3 linked regions of the Coturnix japonica genome follow. The protein of the gene in region 3 interacts with the protein of the main gene of each other region in a pairwise test. Links are inferred from orthologs where the notes say so. Each region holds a gene or a part of one and is shown on either strand. Other genes may lie near its edges.

Region 1 (5,074 bases), on a different chromosome or scaffold from region 3:
TCTGGCTGAGAAACACTCCCCAGCCCTAAACCAGAGGGGTTGGCGGCCACCTCCTGACCCACACGAGAGAGGAATGTCAGGCATGTCATGAAATGCAAGTCCTGCTTCCCAGACCTGTCAGGCTCCATTAGCTCCAAAGGGGCCTGACAATGTAAGGGTTTGAAACCCCAAACCACTGCATTAGCAAAGTCTCCTTTGCTAATGAACTACCCATAGCTGAAAGGCAAGCTCAAGGCAAAGGCAGTGTAGCATGTGCAAGTCACAGGCAGCTGTGCAGACACTCATCCATATCTATTCTCACAGTCTCCCTTCCTCTTCACGAGACACAGATATTTGAGTTATAAAGCACAAACCTCAGAACTGGAAGTCATCGGTGGACAAGAAATTCTCCATGCTAAGGCTGTTAGGGCTGGACACAGCCTGGTCACATCCCTGTGTTCCCAGCACTGCTAAAGCAACGTTATCCTGCATGGAGTCAGGGCATCAACCATAACATTGGGCAGCCTGTTCCAGTGCCTCACCACCCTCAATGTAAAACATTTTTCCTTATATCTAACCTCAATCTCCTCTCTTTGAGCTTGAAACCATTTCCCCTTGTTCTACCACCACAGACCCTGCTAAAGACTCTATCCCCTTCTTTCCTGTAGAGATACTGCCTCGCCAAATAAAAACTCAAGATGACAATTCAAAAGCACAGAGCACAGTTATGTACTGTTCAGAAGAGATCCAACACTTCGCTTTCTCTGTTACAGTTCCCTGCTTGCTCTCCAACCTGACCAAAACCCCATACAGCAATGCATCCTGCCCTTACAGGGACCAAAGCTAGGATGCAACTCCTAAATGCAGTGTACTGTTGATTACTTTGAGCTTAGAAAATGAGTCACTTTACATCCACAAACCACTGGATTCCTGTCACAGTCCAAGTTGTGGGGCAAACTACTTCTAGGTGAAACCACAGTTGACTACCCAGGAAGGAAAATAAAACCCTCCCCACTATTTTATTTAAACAAACACATAAAACCCTTTAAAATGTTCATATCTGCGTATTAAATACTCACGTTATTTGGTGATTATCCTTTTGGTAGATTTTTTGGATGTACTCACATACTGTAAAAGTCTTAAGAGAACAGCCTTGCAGAGGACCAAAGCATCCTGTGCTCAGGGCAGCATCATGCAGTTGTGTCCATGCTAACAGATTTAGGAATAAGTAAAGCTGGACACTGACGTGCGCTGCAAACAAGAGGTCATTAGAAAAACAGCACAGACATCTGCAGTTAAATAAAAATCAGTGGAATTATTCACGTACAAAAAGTTGCAGGAACAGGAACAGGCATTTGGGAGGAAACAGGTACTTAAATTAATCCGTTCCAAATGAACATACGCAATAAAAATGGGATTAACACCTGTGCAGATAAAGTACTTCTGCTCCCTTACACGGTGGATGCTTGTATTGCATTTTCAGTCCTTCCTAATAAGATTCCTGATAGCTGTGAAAACATGACATCATCTCCTTAATGATGCAAGGAGCTGCACATTACACAAGGCTTTACTTGGTTTCGTGGCATTCTTTTGTAGCTTTCCTTGCAAGGCTCAGGAATGCCCTGACCTGCTCATGACAGCATGTGGACAAGCAACCTCGGTGGTCACGAAGGGATGAAGGAGACTGAATAGAGAACTGGCTCACAAACGGTGCTCAACAGGCTGTGGAGGGACAGAGGGCAGGGAAGACCTGGCAAGTGAATACCAGCAGTTCACATTTAAACAAACAAATTAATTTAATAGCTCAGCACTTTGAGCATTCAAATGGACATAATTTTATCCACAGTAATATCAACATCTAAAGATCAATGGTATTTTATATAACTCTCCTGGTCCCTAACCACAGTGCATCCCAACAAGGCATATCTTTACTTTTCTCCACTATTTCAGTTTTTAATTGGTAGGAATATCAGTCTATCAGTCCCAAGGGTTGTTTTTTTATCCTCCCTTCTTCACCTTCTTGAAGACAAGTTTATGCTAAGAACCATCCTCCGGATTTTGTCTTCATTCTTTAAAATATTAGCTTTAACAGCACGGATCTTGTCTTGCTGGTCTTCAATCAGCTGGTCCAGCTCAGCCAGTTCAGCTTTTAGTGGTTCTACAGCACCGTCAATGATGCTGAAAGAGATGCAAAGTGTTGTGTTACTGGAAACGTTATGCTGCTTCAGGTTACTTTAGCCTCCAAGAACATACATTCAATGCTTCAAAGTTTGCAAAGAATTTAAGTTGCGCTCATCCTTCCTGAAAGAAAGTTTAGGATGAGAAGCACAAAGGCAAAGCCAGCAACACAGAGAGGAACACTGTTTAGGAACACCCCCCCCACACACAATTCAACAGCAAGCAGTAATCTTGTCTAATCTAGTTTTTCTGTTAAAATCTCTGTGCTATGCAGTTATTCTGCCCCATCATGAGTGAGCACCAAGCACTTCTTTTACTTACCAGCCAAGAGCTCCAACTGCCTGGCTCAGGGACAAAGAGGGACTTGACTGTGTAGGATAGAGCATAAGAACAACACCCACTTTTTACTGGGGTCTCTGTATCTTATCATGATGCACATGGCAACAGCCATCCCTCCAGGCCTTGCAATAGGCATTTAAAGAGGAGGGAAGCACAGTGCAGAGGAGCAAGTACAATTGCTGTGGAGGTTGATGGCCTGCTACCAGCTGTTTCCTACAATGAGCCAGCAGCACAGCACTGCCTGCCAGCAGCACCAAGCCACAGCAAGCACCAAGTAGACATCTGATAAGGGGCAAGGTACAAGAAAACTGGCCCTCAGTAGCTGCTGACAAGGGCAGGCAATCCCACAATAACAGGAAATTTAATAAACAGGAATTAGATGCTAATGAAACCACTGATATACCTGAAGGGAATGGGACTGTTTGGCTTTAAAACCAGTGTGCCCCTTTCCACAGTGCTTCGCAGCCAGGGAGTTGATGGGCAGAACTAGTCTGCTGTCATTCTGAATTATCCAGTCACTGTGAGGACTGGGTAATCAGCTGAAGTCAGCATCTCATAATTACTTAGCTTTCCCCTCCTTTCTACTCCATTGACATAAATCACAAAAAATATCACTAGAAATTCTACTAACATTTCCCTAATGGGATTCTTCAATTGTCTTTCACAGAAGAAAAAACAGCCAACAAAGGTGCATCCAAATTCCACTACATATGGGAAGCACTCTCTTCTTCATGTCAGATACTGCGTAATTCTTCCCTGAAGGATCTGACAGGCTGTAGCACTACACTGAACTGATGAGGATCTCACTGCAATCCCTGCAAAGTGCTGTGATATGCTGCAGCAGTCCAAGCTCGTGAAAGGGAGCTGAATGGCTCTGCTAAAGTGATGCTGGTTTGCTCCCTGTCACCAGGGCTGGTTCAAGCTGTCTGGGCACAGGCAAGCAGGTCAGTGCCTCAGTTTCTACAGCTGTAAAATAAAACCCAATGCCATTTCCTTTCTCTTTGCAGCGGTCCTACATCCTAAGGCAACCACAGCTTAAGAAGGTGTTGTGTAAGAGCAAGGAATTGACATCATTAGGCTTTATATGTGAACCTAATTCCTACCCCAGCCCCACTAAGCCAGCAGCTGTAAAACTTCCAACATTTAACAAATCGCTACCTATCCAGATAAAACTTAGCTAAGGATACCACTCAGTGGCATGGTTGCTTCTGCAGGAAATAAAAGTATCGGTTCAACAGCAGTTATCTACATTGGAATCCATGATGACGAAATCAATCTTCAATATCTGAGATCATTTTTAAGATCAGATTACATGGAATTGGGACGGTAGTTCTGTTTGCAAGGAGAATAAAAAGATATACTACTGAGGAAAGTAAAGCTGAAGCACCCCTTCCTAGGCATGACCTCCTTGGATGTGTTACCTTTGCTCTCCTGGCTTTCTGCTGTTGGTTTCAAACCATGCACAGACAACAACTTACTGACACTGCTGCAGAACACGCAGATTTCAGCAGCATACAGAAAGCAGTTTGTGATTTAAGGATTCAGAACCCACCAGGCCTACTAACCTGCTCCTCCGTTGCTCCAGATGTATTTGTGATAAGAAAACAAAGCAAAGCACTACACCTTTTCATTTCACCTTAGCATTCACATAGCTGCTGCCATGTACCTCAGGTGACGTTAGCTGGAAAGATTTTAATGCTTCAAAATAACACAATTCTAACTGCAAATAAAATTCCCCAAACCACAATGGAGACTGATGACAAACTTGCATTTTGAAGCGGATAAAACTCTCTCCTCTCCTGTAAACAGATCTGTCTAGAGAGATAAACCAGACTTTCTCCGACCACGCTCACCTCTGCTCTTTCTGCAGAGCTTCTGCATGCTGTCTGTTCTCATGCCTCCACATCTGCAACTCGTTCTTCATGGCATCCATGTCTTCTTGAACGTAGTCCATGTTCCTGCCAAGCGTAAAGGTACTGCGGCTCAGAGTCTGAATAGAGTCCTGAAACTTCTCCACTTCTTTGGCTGCCAAGTCTCTCTCTTTCTTTCTAGCTGCTTCCGATATAAAAGGCTTCTCCTGACAGAAAGGATGGATAAAGAGAAAAGCATCAAAATGAGGAAAAATGTTGCACACAAGGTGTCAAATGAAGAATGTTTTAGACACTGCTGGCTACGAGGAGAAATCTTTACACAGTGTTCACAGTTTGAAAGGGAAGGGGAAGAAATGAAGCAATAGTTTAGAATCAGATGAGCAGAATGAGTATCACATCCAAGCCACCACTGCTAAGGAGAACTGCTATTAAACTGCAATAACATTGGCAATATTCAATTGCTTTTCAGACCAGGAGCACTTAATGTTAAACTTAGTATTTGATTCCATAAATGACCTCATCATCTTGACAATCTTACCCAGAGCAGTGGGTGTGAAGGGAGCACTGGTGGCAGACCTCCTCCTCCTTCTGCCATGTTTCACTTCAGTGTGTTTTTATATATTGAAAGGTAAGTGGCTTTAAGACACAAGAAGCTTTGCATTAAGTTTACTTAAAGTCATTTCAGTCATCTAATGTGTGCCAGAAAA
Region 2 (6,539 bases), on a different chromosome or scaffold from region 3:
AGGAGAAAAACAATGATAATACACCTGTATTTCCAGCTGTTGCTGAACACTGCTGTACAGAGCCAAGCATACTTCATTTTTCCCCACTCTCTCTTACCATCCTACCAACTGGGGGATGGGGAACTAACAAGGATCTCGGAAGCACAGGGCAGGGCACCCAAGCAGCTGGGAAGGGATAGAAATAAGACAGCTGACTTTAAGTGGCCAAAGGGATATTCCATACCATATAACATTACGCAAAAGGAAAGTTTTGAATGGGACATGAGTCCTTTTTTCTCTCTCTCCTGCTGCTTGGGGCCTAGCTGGGCATCAGTCAGTGGGTAACTTCCTATATACATTCACATATATGTATTTCTCTTAAGTAGTATCTTGTTTTCTTTTCTCTTTGTAAACAGTTTTATCTCAACCCATGAATTCTACTTTGTGTCTGTTTTTTAATCGATTCTATTCCCAAGCCTATAGGGAAAAGCAGGACAGGGTCTGGAGGGAGAGGAGCTAATGACTGTGTGTTGTTTAGACACATGCTAAGTTTAACAACCCCAACACTTTAGTACAACTGGTTTTCTTAGTACTTACTTTCTTATCAGACCTAAGGAAACTTTAAAGAGGAAGCCGTCTTGTCCAATTACTCCCATTCCACTTGCTCTTCCACTGCTGTCTATACAGACCATCTCTGGTTCCATGTCTTTATTTGCTACAAGGAACTGACCATAAACAAGGTCTCCCACCTAAAGCAAGCAGTGCCAGAAAACAACAAAAAAAAAGAATCATTAGAGAAGATAACAATGCACATTTGTAAGAAACATTCAGTCCATAAAGAGACAACAAAACAGTTGTAAACTGGATGAACACTTGGACAAGAACCAGCAGCGTACACTTGCAGCTCAGAAGGCCAATGGGATCCCAGGCTGGATCCAAAGAAAGATAGCTAGAAGGGTGAATGAGGTAACTGACCCCTTTATTCTGCCATTGTGAGGCCCCACCTGGGGTACTCTGTCCAAGCCTGTGGCCCCTGACACAAGACCATTGGAATGGGTCAGAAGAGGGCCGGAGCGCCTCTTGTGTGAAGAAAAGTTGAGAGAGTTAGGCTTGTTGAGCCTGGAAAAGGCTCTGGATAGACCCCATCGAAGCCTTCCAGTGCTTATAGGGAGTGACTTTTTATATAGCCTAGTAGTGACAGGACAAGGGGGAATGGCTTTGAATTAACAGAGGGGAGATAAAGGTTACATGTTAGGAAACAATTCTTTACTCAGAAGGCGCACCAGAAGCCATACCAGTCTATTCCATTTAAAATCACAGCCCATTTTACACCATGCTGACAGTGTTTCTGGTGAACGCACATATCACAAAACAACTTGTAAATGCTACAAAGCAAACCCTCCTCTACCAGCACCAGCGTTCAGAGGATGCTTTAAAGCCTCAGGGTGGCCCCTTGGGACCCACGTTACTGCACGAGTAGCACCTGCCACTGTTAACCGATGGGAAAGGTGTAAGGTCAGAAGTGAAGAAGCACAAAAAGCTCCGGAGAAAACAGAAAAAACTCACGGCCTCATCGGGACACCCCGTACAGGCCATGACAAAAGCTCTGTGAAAAAAGTCACGTTCCTCGTTTATATGGTCCGAGTGGTAAAAACACCGTTTACAAAGGCAAGCTCCCGGCGGGCAGCGTTACCTGCACGTTGGGCCTGTTCCTCTTGGTCGCGCCCTCGAAGGCCAGGTATGACAGCGAGGCCTGCTCGCTACCACCGACGTCCAGCCGGAACACGTCCCCCACCTTGCCCGTCACGATGCCGATAACGTGGTCTCCCTTCACCGGCACGTACTACAAGCGGGTACAAGCGATCAGCGGGCTCGTCCCGCACATCACCGCCCCCCGCCGCCCGCTGCCGCCGTACCCGCTTCTGCTGCGAGTCCACCCAGTAGGCGCCGCCCGCCGCCGCTCCGCCGCCCGCCTGCCGGTGCCGCAGCAGCCCGCACTTGGTGACCAGCAGCCCGCCCGCACAGCGCCGCAGCCCCGGCCCGCACAGCAGCCTCCCCCGCGGGGCCGCGCTGGTGCCCAGCGGCAGCTTGTCGAGGTCGGGCTCTCCGTGCTCGGGCAGCAGCAGCACATCGCCGGGCAGCACCACTTGTCCCACACGGGTCTCCGCCGGCACGCCGCCCCCACCCGCCATCGCGTGCGGCCCTTCCGGCGGAAGCAGACGCAAAATGGCGGCGGCGATGGAAGGGCCGAGAGCGCAACGACAGCGACACCGCCCGGCCGCCTGACGCAGGATCCAGCCGGGAGCGCGGTTGCCCGGTAACGCGGTTGGACGCGCTGTGCGATCGGGCCGGTAGGAGCGAAGCGGTAGGGAACGGGGGACAGCACCGCTACCACCTTCTCATATTAATTGCCTGATGAAATGAGCTTTGATAAAACCACCAACATCACACTGGGGATGTGATGCAGTCAACACTTCCTCTAACTGCTGTCTGAATTCCGATATCGGTGACTAATATCTGTCGGTTTGTCAGTAGGTGAGAATGGAGTCTCAATACCTGAGGAGATGTCTGGGAAGCTGCTTGAAAAAGGGTCTGGCGGAGGTTGTGGAGCGTCGGCCCGCTGACCCAATAGAGTACCTGGCACACTGGATCTACAACTACAAGAAAACACTAGAAGAAGAAAAGAAGGTGGGTCTACCTCGGGCAAAGCATTTCATGTCAATCTAACTGATGCTGTATAATCTCTCTTTGTGTTTTGTTTCCTTTTTTTTTCATTGATTTCTTGTTACCTCTGAAATAGAGAACGTTGGAAAGGGCCAAACTGGAAAAAGAACGGCAGGCAGCCCTGGAAGAACTTGAAATGTTAAGAAAAATGAAGGAAGAAGAGCTACTGATACAACAGAAACTTGAAGAACAACGGCAGGTTAATAGTTGTTCATAATTATAGTAGCGTGTGATGCTGGGTCAACTTGTAGCTCTCACTACAATAGTAGTCATTATCAACATAGAATCATAAGAGAATCAGAATGTTGGAAAGTACCTACAATTGTATTCTGATCTTGAAAGGGAAAAGATAACAAAAAGTGCTTAAACATTGCGTTTTGAAAATATCATTATTTCGAAAGGAATTAGAAAGGACAGCTGAGCAGCTGGGGAGAAAAACTTACCTGCTACATGACAAGATGTTACCAAAAATGAAGAGACTAAGCTAAAGAGAAACTAACTAAAGATATGTTAGAAAATTAGATTAGGATAAGTAGACTGTCTTCTGCAGTTAACTATCTTAGCTATTTTTTCCTCCCATAGAATCTATATGGATTAGTCTGTCTATAATAGATGCTGTGCAAAGCTTCAAAGAGCCTAATCCAAAGTATAGGAGATATAAATATTAACTACTAAAGAGCACGAGGAACTGAGTATCAAAAGCATATACGCTATCTTCAGCTGTCTTCTCTTTACAATAGGAACAAGAACGTGAGAAGATGGAACAGCAGAATAAAGAAGAGAACATGCAGGAGCAGCAGAAAGATCCAGAGGTTTAAGCCAAAGCTTAGTCAAGATAAAGAAATATTGTTAATCATCTCTCTTATTCAGATCCAGTCCCTAAATACAGAACACAAGGCAGAAGCCTTGAACACAACAAAACAGAAAGCTAACATTAGGGAAGAACGTTTAATGCTTCTTTCCAGCTTAGGTTTTAGACTTGAATTCTCATCTGTTCTATTGGGTTTCTTTAGCTTTTATTCAGAACAGAGCATAAAGTTATTATAAAATGTAGCTTAAGTTCAGATTTTTTTTTAATTAATAAAATACTAGAACTTGAACGTGTCTAACATGAATGCTTAGATAGTTACATTTTACTGCCTGGCAACGTGAAGCCCATTTGCCACACCTGGAAAAGGAACCAACACTTGGAGGTGGGATGCCTCTTGATTTTTTGGTCTTCCATATAAATACATAGTCATATGATGCTGTTTTGGTAAAACAGATTGATCATTGACACTTAGACGTGAAACATTTCCTAACTTTACTTGGAGCAGAATAGAGATATTTTTAGAGCACTGTGTTGAGATATTGATAGCACATAGCTAGAAGAATGACTGTAAATGTAACAGAAGTATGCACGTTTATAAACTGAAGCAAAAAAGAACCCTGAAACCTTTGTAAAAACAGTCTTTACATGCACAAAGACCCCATTTGCACACTAACACATTTGTGTAGCAAGCATCTGAAGTATTGTCTTTACATTCATACTTAAACTACATTTTCAAAGCATGTTCAAAGTATCCACTGTAGACGATTGCTCATGACACGGAATACTTCTAATTGAAAATGAATTTCCACTACAGGAAGATGAGAAGACAATAGCTGAACTTACAGATAGAGCAGGAGCACCTAATTTGCCCACAGTTGAGGAAGTAGATGAGAGTGGAGTGTCTGAGGTAAGTGTTTGGAAAGAAAAAGGTTACATGGAATTAATGCTCAAACATTTTCTTGCTGACAAATGGAAGACTAAGACTGTTCTAGTTAACCCTATACCGGTTCTTTACTACAATCTGAAGGGATATTATTTGGGCCACAGTCTTCATGCTGTCCTTAGGCTGTACATTCTGAAAGGCTGCTTATGTGGTGCTGAGTGAATAAAGTGCCAAAGATTTAAAATGCCCCTTTATAGTCATGTGTGTTATGAATGGATGTATTAATATTCTCAGACAAGAAGCAGCCTTCCTTCGCCTTTTGAGCAGGTGTCAAACAGGACACAGACTCAATCACAAACACTGTCTTGCTTCTGAATGAAATGACTTACATTATTCTGATTGGTCTGAAGTACATTGTTCATGCAGCAGAACGCAGAGATATCTGAACAATTATTTAATGTAAAAGACCAGGTACCAAGCGCACAGTGCTCAGTGCAGCAAAGACCTGCTAAGAATCAGGTTATCCAAACCCTGTGCCAGCATGACAGTACTTATTCCAAAACTACAACTATCAATCTAAATTGTGATATGCAGCCATCTTCTACACCCCTATTTTTTTATTCACTTTGTGCTTGACAATCCTAGTACATGAGAGGGTATAAATCAACTGTCATTGACTGTAAAGCATGGCAGTACATTAAACAGATGATGCTGCTTTATGCACATCACTGGAGATAAATATCAGTGTGTTTAGCTTTTTTCAGCTATGATATTCTAGGTAGTGTGACTTGGAATTTGGCTGGACTGGTTTTAGTACTGAAGCTGAGCCCTTTTTCCTTTGTTAGCCTCAGTCATTTGCTCACTTGTTTTCTGATACTGGTAGTATAATCCCAGCTCAGAACTGAAATTTGTGGTATTAGCACACTTTTGCTTTAGTAACAACCTGTTTTATAAAAGCCCTGCAAATACATTTGTGAATGTATTTATGACTAGGGCAAAGTTTCCTCAATTATTTGGATTTTGCCAAGTGGTAAATGTGACAGGATCTCAAGGCCTTGCTTAGTCCTGTTTTTTATTATCATTTTCTGGCAACCGAGTATTAAAAGCCATATATGAGGCTCTGGGTGTATTTTACACATCCTTAATGAAATGAATTGCAAAACCAGAAGTGCAAATGAATCAAAGTGTGCCCCGGTGGCGCAGTGGTAGGAATGCCGCCTTGCAACATCAGGGCCCGGGGTTCGAATCCCCCCTGTGGCGCAAGTGGTAGAAGTGCCGCTCTGCAGCACAGAGGCTCGAATCCCGGGAGTTGGACTCGATGATCTCTAAGGTCCCTTCCAACCCACACGAGACTATTACTATTACTATTGAACCATAGAATGGCTTGAGTTGGAAGGAACCTTAAAACTAGTTTAAACAACCCTGCCACAGGTGTAGTACTGCAGATTACGCCTACAAGGGCAGAGTAGAGGGGGACAGTAATCTCCTCCACCCTCATTCCTCTTTCAAGCAGCTCATGACACATTTGGCCTTCTGATCAGCAAACAGACTGGTCCCAAGATGAACCTCTGGGGTCCTCCACTTGTACAGAGAACGGTCAACCACAATCTTCTGCCGGTGGCCAGCTGACCAAATCCTTATCCACTGAACAGTCCACTGATCCATTTCATATCTTTCCCATTTAGAGACAGGAATGTGATGTAGGACCATATCAAAGGCCTTGCAGCAGTCCAGGTGTATGACGTATCTATTACCTTTCCTTTATCCGCTTGTCATAGAAGGCCACCAGACGGGTGAGGCACAATCTGCCCCTGGTGAAGTCACGCTGACTGTCTCAAATTACCTTCACGTATGTCTTCCACATCACCCACAAAGATTTCATGCCTAACGTTGTTTAAAGTTGGATTACATAAACCCTTTCATGATGTCATCGCAGGTTTTGCAGTGCTACAATTTTCATATGAAATCACAAATTAAGATCAATAAAAAGAAACTATAATCACCTTTAGCATTGAAACTATTCTGTTCTCGGAGTCATATCACATCATCCAAACTTACTGGATCTTAGATCAAGTCTGCTGATAAAACTTTGTCATATTTAACTGAATGGAAGGATACATATTTCTATTTATGAACAGACTC
Region 3 (6,409 bases):
AATACCCCACATTTCTGATTTGATTTCTAAGACATAAAACAAAGATTGCTTATTTGGGGCTTCAGTGCAGACTGGGGAAATGACTACTGCAGATTTTCAGTGAGGTTTGTTTTGCTAAGTTCAGCCAGGTCACAAGAAGGCAATAATACCTTTGTAACAGCTTCAAATCAAGCACTACTCACTTTAAAATAATGAAATGTACAGCAATTACAAACAAGCCTATTTTTCTTTCCCCAAGAAGTCACTGCAATGTGTTGGAAAACATGTCACAGGACAACAGTGATGAAAACTTTTGCTTGCCATCTACCCATTTAACCACAGCAAGGTTTTTCTTATTCCCCCCAAGGTACATCTGTACCTGCAAAACTGAGGGAATACTACAAAGCAAAACAGTACCTCAGAGTAATTTGACAGAGAACACTACAAACTATCAGACTGTGTCTTTTGGGCATCAGCAACATGTCCATATTCACCTACATTCTAACACCTACCTTTAATTTACACTGACAGAAAGATCTGGTACATCTTAGTGGGACATAGAGAATAAGATGCAACAACTTCAAACTTGCAAGGAGTTGCTCTGGAAGACAAAGCTGGCATTCTCCTAGCTCCCATCTGGCTAGCTTTGGTTCAGCAATACACAGTACTTAACTTGGGTTGTTTTGAGTGTGTGTTAGAACATTGAAACTGGCACCAAACTGAACTTATGAAGAACAGACAAGAAAAACCATTTCTTCTTTTAAATAGAATAACATAGATGCTCTTTCAAAGGCTGTAACTTCCCTCAAACTATTTAATACAACCTCCTTCTCCCAGCCCACTGATATATAATTTAGACAAGACCACTTTCAGATAGAATAAAGGACATTTTTCACTCTATTAACAGCAGTGGGACAGTGTTCTTTACACTTACAAAGCTACCAATAATTCCTTTTCCATCATTACTATCTACATCCACACCTCAGATCACTCACCAACTATTCAGTCCAGACTCAGTGAGAGCTTTAGAATCTGTTCTCTACCCTCAAAAACAATTTTAGTGCTAAAATAAGCAAATATGCTCCCCACAGAGGCTCAACCTCCAAACAGTGTCATATATGCATAACTCCACTAAATGTAGCTTCACTGAAATCGGTTACCACCGAACACAGAATTAAAGGAGGATTTAGGACAAGTACCTTTGGACAGGTAAAAAAGGAAGAGAAGGCACTTTTGTGTCTTGGAAAGTAATGTGTGATAGCAGTCTACCAGTCTTGCATGTGCATTTCATCCTGAGATTACTGTGCTTTCAAGTATGAGCAAATACAATGAAAACCAATGTACTAAGAAATGCTGCAAGTCTATGCAAACCTTCTACTAAGTAATATCTCAGTATCAGTGGTCTACTGTTAATCCCCAAAAGTGGGAAAATGTAAGAACTGTTGAGAACAGTTGAGCACCATAAATGTACACGCGGTATGGAACTAATATGTTCTAAAGGACACAAAGATATTATATTTGTTACTTTAATAAGTAACAATACTGCAGTGATAAATACACCTGTACATCCCAGGCTGTTTACTTTATAGAGAACTTTTCCTGGTGCTTCTTTGTCTCAAGTTCTGTCCCTGAATACTTTATAACCCAATACAAAGAACAAATAGAATACTTACAAAACAGACTTCCAAACCCAGTAACAAACTTTTTAAACCTCCAGCTGTTACTCTCCTTTACCAAAAGGAAAACTCTACTCTTAGGCGTTTTTAGGAGGTAGAAATAGAAAATAACACCAGCTTAAAACTTCTGAGCACACTATTATCATCTGAATTACACTGTAAAAAGATAGGAGGCTACCTGACTAAGCTTCTGCCAGGAGATATTGTACTAAGTGCTATCTTTGATTTTAACATTGTTAGTTTACAGCAACCAGATCTAAAGCTATTTTTTATCATTCTCAGAGTGTAGCCCAGGAAGCACATACCTACATTACAGAAATACTAAATTATTTTTACTAAAATAGCAACTTAAACCTTTAAGATTGTCAATCTCTAGAACTCTAGAATATGGTTTTATCTTATTGAACGTTGCAGTATGCAGAACTCTCATACCTGTAAAAATAAGACAGCTAACAGGTGTTACAATGCCTGCTTCCAAGCAAACATGGCTTTTGGTTTCACAGCAGTCTTCCGAGCATCAAAGAACATCGCTCAACGCAATGCTCCCTTCACCTGAGTGACAACTGTTTAATTTTATGAGGAAACAGTAATCGCTTAAAGAAAGGTTAATTAAAGACAACTCACCACCATCCCTCTCTCTAACTCTGTGAGTATGCACACTTTTTGCTTTACTGTGCCCTGTGTTGTCACTGTATTTGTTTTCAGGGCTATCAGAGCGCCGCAACATTTTATTTGGTGGTGAAGGATCTGTGGTGTCTCGCATCTTGTCATGACGATGATCACCACCACTTGGGTGACTCTTGGATGAGTACTTAAGAGCCTGAAAAAGATCACAAGAAAACAGGCATTTTCATCAGATATAGATACAGAAAGAACATTTTAACATCAGTCATAAATTTCAGATCTTTCTTCTAAAACACTTTTTGAAGTAATTAATTTTTATTTCCCATTTAAATAACCACTATTCATCCTCTTAGTTTTAATTACCTACATTAGAGCAACAAGTTCTGTAATTAGGACTGAAACCATTTGCTCTCACCACGACATCCAACATAACATTTGCTGTTAAGATAAGCCTAATTTCTTCCTATTTTCTCAGTGAAGGACTGCATACTTTAAACGGTAAGTGGGGCACAAAACCTCTGACACTCAAAACAAGCACAAGTGCAGCTGGTACTAAAGAAATAAAGAGACAGTTATATTGAAACAGAGTGAACTGTAAATATCCATACTGTAATGGAGGCCACTTCCTTTTGCATCAACGTTAAGCTTCTGCAGATAGACTTCAGTACTAGCAAGCCCATAACAGATACAATAAAAATCTAGAATTTGGGGGGGTATTTAAGAGGGCAGAACATAATGTGACAATTCATTTTGGAACATTTACCAAAACTAACAAGTTATGTCTCTTTTTGATCTGCTTGATTTTGCAGAGCGAGCTCATGAGTGGCAAGTGTTTTATATTACATGAACTGTCACTGACAGCTGCCTCGGACCATCAGATGACACTTCACAGTGATAGAAACACTCAGAAATGTAATAAAATGGTTTAGTTAAATGCCCTAAGAAGAGCAGTATCCCTACACACAGCGTTCCCCAGACTCACACCCTCCTTAAGGTATAATTTTATTTTTCTTATTTTTATTCTTTCGTATTTCTCATAGGCATTAGACTACGGGACTCATCATACTTAAATTGAAGTTACTGTCAAAAGCCAGAGGATCTGATGTTTTTGAACACCCCCAGCAGCTGGCAACTGTAGAGACTGGCAACTGTGGAGACGAAGCCCTACTGACAACCCCAGTTCAGGGTCTAAAATCATGCCCTGCTCAGGTTACAGCCCGCAGCAGCAGTTTTGGGGAGAAGGGCCTCGGGGAGGGGGGCGGGGGGCGAACAAGCCGCCTTTTGTTTTTAGGAGGACAACGTTCCCCTTCCCCCGGCTCTCGGCTCCTCCGCCCGTGACCCGGCCGCGCTCTCCCGCCCCTGTGCTCGCACCTCCCGTCTGCTAGGCCCCGGCCCCGCGCTAGGCCTCTCCTACCGGCCCGGCCATCGCAGCGGCGCGGCGGCTCCGTTCCCCCGGCTGCGGGCCGGAGCCTGTTCCCTTCCCCACCTCTCGGGCCTTACAAGGCACCGCGGGCCGGGCGGGAGCCGCGCGGGGCAGCGCGGCCTGCGGCGGCGGCCGAAGCCTGGGCTGGAGTAGCTCCCCCCCCACCTTCCCTGCCCTGCTCCTCCTCCTCCCGGGCCCGGCGGCCGGCGCGGCGGTACCTGGTAGGGCTGCGAGTCCCCCCTGCGGTCGTGACAGCTGCGGAGAAGGCGAGAGAAAGAGAGAGAGAGGCGTTAGTGAGGGCCGTTACCGGGCGCCGGGAAGGGGCCCAAACATGGCGGAGGCGGGGGGAGAGCCGCGGGGCCGAGGAGGGGATTTACCCATCACTGAGTCTCTGCTGTTTCCTCGCATACATTACCATCAATGCCCGGCCTGTGTGTGTGAGTGTGAGGGGACCAGGAAGGGACGGCCGCGGCCGGGCCTACGGGCGCCGAGGGGGGAGGAGGGGAGCGGCGCTCCGCCTCGCCGCCGACCGGGGGCAGGGAGGGGGCAGGGAGGGAGGGGGCGGCTCGGCAGCTGTGCTGGGAGCGGCGCTCACGGGCCCATCTCCGCCGCGCGCAGCCTGAGGGGAGACGCCGGCAGCTCGGCCCCGCTGAGGCGCTCCGGGAGCGCGGACTCCGTCGCTGCCGCCGCTGCCGCCTCCTCCCCCCGCTGCGCCCGCCGCCGCCGTCGCCGCTCCTCCAACTACATCCGGGAAACTCGGGCGACGCCGCGCTCGGTTAACGTCGGCTCTTTTCGGCTCTTTCCGACGCGCTCCGTCCCCTCTGTCCCCTTTGCTCTCGGGCGACTCTGCCTTCGGCAAACATCGGCAGTCTCCGCCGAGCCCAACGCCCTTCAGTCTCTCCCTTCGGCAAACATCGGCTCGTTCCGTAGCTCTCCCCCCCCCTCCGGCCGGCCCGCCTCGTCCTCCACTCCCGAACGCTACCTGTCTTCGGAAAACATCGGTTATTTCCGTAGAGAGGCTTTCACGCTCTCGTCGGGGTGACGCCGCCTTCGGAACCGTTCGGCTATTTCCGTGACCTGCGCGGCCGTTGGCGGGGCGCGGCCGATTGGCCGAGGGGAGCGAGCGGGGGCGGCAGCGGCAGGCAGGTGGGGGCGATGGGGGGGGACCGCGAAAGGAGCCGAGGTGGTGCGGGGGGGATAGGAAAGGGAAGGTCTCCCCTCACTCACCTCCCCCCTCCCCTTCCGCCCGGCGCCTTGATGTATAGGCAGGAGCCATTTTGTGTACGTTGGGTTCGGCGAGAGGCGCTCGGTAGGGAGTGGTTGTTAAAATGTCCCTGGGGAAGCGGCTGGCCGGGCCGCGTCCCTCCTTCCCTCTCAGCTCCCCCTGAGGCGATGGCGGAGCTCGGGCCGCCTCACGCGTGGAGGGAGCGGGTGAGCGGGACGGGCAGCGCTGCCCTGAGGAGCTGGGAGTGATCCAGCCCTGCTGGGTTGGATGGGCCCACGGGCAGCATGAGCTGCTGGGTGGGTGCTCTGCCCACGGCATGGTGTTGGGACTGATAGCCTTGAAGGGCCCCAAACCATGCAATGATACAGAGCCTGAATCTTGTCCTGCCTCCTTAATGAAAAGGGAAGTGACAAGCCCCCCTCAGAACTGGCCTGTAGCAGTACATCTTTCCCCACAATGCTGTGTTTAAACATAGCATCACACTATAACTATAGTTTTTCTCTCTGTTCTTGTTTTTGTGTTAACGTGCAGAAGGCTGCAGCTGAGAGGACACCTCAGGAAGCTCACGGACAGACAGGAGCAGAGGATGACCCAGCAGGGAGCTGTTCTTCAGGGTTACAACAATGAGCTCGTTAAGTGTATTGAAGACTTGTGTATGCAAAAAGAGGAGCTGAACAAACAGATCCAGCAAGCAGAAGAGGAGAAAAGCAGACTCCAGCATGAAATTCAAACCCTCAATGAACAGTTGGAGGGGGTGTGTGAAAACCTGGCTCAGAAGGTAGCTTCGCGGAACGAGCTCGATAAAATTCTTGCTGAAACTGAAGCTGCTTACATGAAGATTTTGGATAGTTCCAGAACTTTGCTTAGTGTCCTGAAGAAGGAAGTGGGAAGCTTAAAGCGTCCGCCAGAACTGAAAAGTAATGTAACCTGAAGCTGTTAAATGTCTGCACTTCCCAGTTCTAAAATTCCACTAGGTGAGAAGCGGTCAGACACAGCACCCTGTGACAGCACTATGAGCTGAGGGGCCTTTCTTCCAACCTTTCCACTTTCCCATAATTTTTAAATGCGTTAGAAACACTGTAGATAAAACAGATGAAATAAAGTTGCCGTTTTCTTATTAAAGAAAGTTCATAATTGCTCTTAAATCACAGCAAAACTAAACTGCAGATATGTAGCTGTCAGTTTGGACATAGTTATGCTTCAAGGCTCTTCTGAAAGACAGGAAAAATGTTTTATTGGCTGGATTTTGGCTGGTTACTGTGGAATGGCTGTTTGATAGAATGTTACTTGAAATCTGGACAGAATGCTCGCATTTTTTCCATTGCTCTTTTACCCAAAGCTGTGTTCATGGCTTCTCTGAAATCCTGCTGTCTTTCTCCCATATCCTTTTTTTCCCCTTACCTACATGTGTAGACAGAAAAGCACTGTAGAACTAATGGATGCAAGTAGCTTATACTTGTTGCTTGACTTTTAGGGACCAAG

Evidence for each region.
Region 1: the proteins of WAC (region 3) and TRAF3IP1 interact in a two-hybrid assay, tested with the Homo sapiens proteins (2 studies listed by BioGRID and IntAct). The link is inferred for Coturnix japonica from reciprocal best matches to the Homo sapiens genes WAC and TRAF3IP1.
Region 2: the proteins of WAC (region 3) and DYDC1 interact in binary tests that used the Homo sapiens proteins (3 or more experiments, as listed by UniProt). The two-hybrid records come from large-scale screens. The link is inferred for Coturnix japonica from reciprocal best matches to the Homo sapiens genes WAC and DYDC1.

What each region holds. Positions count from the first base shown.
Region 1 is NC_029522.1:3,265,878-3,270,951, forward strand, and holds the end of TRAF3IP1 (TRAF3-interacting protein 1), read right to left. Parts: intron 4,574-5,074; coding exon 4,350-4,573; intron 2,158-4,349; coding exon 1,992-2,157; 3' UTR 1,275-1,991; downstream 1-1,274.
Region 2 is NC_029521.1:3,510,288-3,516,826, forward strand, and holds DYDC1 (DPY30 domain-containing protein 1), read left to right. Parts: upstream 1-2,214; 5' UTR 2,215-2,296; exon of another isoform or gene 2,297-2,344; intron 2,345-2,511; exon of another isoform or gene 2,512-2,514; 5' UTR 2,515-2,520; coding exon 2,521-2,667; intron 2,668-2,779; coding exon 2,780-2,902; intron 2,903-3,443; coding exon 3,444-3,515; intron 3,516-4,328; coding exon 4,329-4,619; 3' UTR 4,620-5,562; downstream 5,563-6,539. Other genes in the region: EXOSC3 (exosome complex component RRP40), read right to left, coding at 577-728, 1,673-1,822, 1,896-2,171. UniProt on the Homo sapiens protein: Functions as part of axonemal radial spoke complexes that play an important part in the motility of sperm and cilia. Plays a crucial role during acrosome biogenesis.
Region 3 is NC_029517.1:13,927,783-13,934,191, forward strand, and holds the start of WAC (WW domain-containing adapter protein with coiled-coil), read right to left. Parts: upstream 4,236-6,409; 5' UTR 4,140-4,235; coding exon of another isoform or gene 4,123-4,139; 5' UTR 4,121-4,122; coding exon 4,080-4,120; exon of another isoform or gene 4,074-4,079; intron 3,958-4,073; coding exon 3,921-3,957; exon of another isoform or gene 3,840-3,920; intron 2,476-3,839; coding exon 2,280-2,475; intron 1-2,279. Other genes in the region: Sjoegren syndrome nuclear autoantigen 1 homolog, read left to right, coding at 4,123-4,139, 5,459-5,858.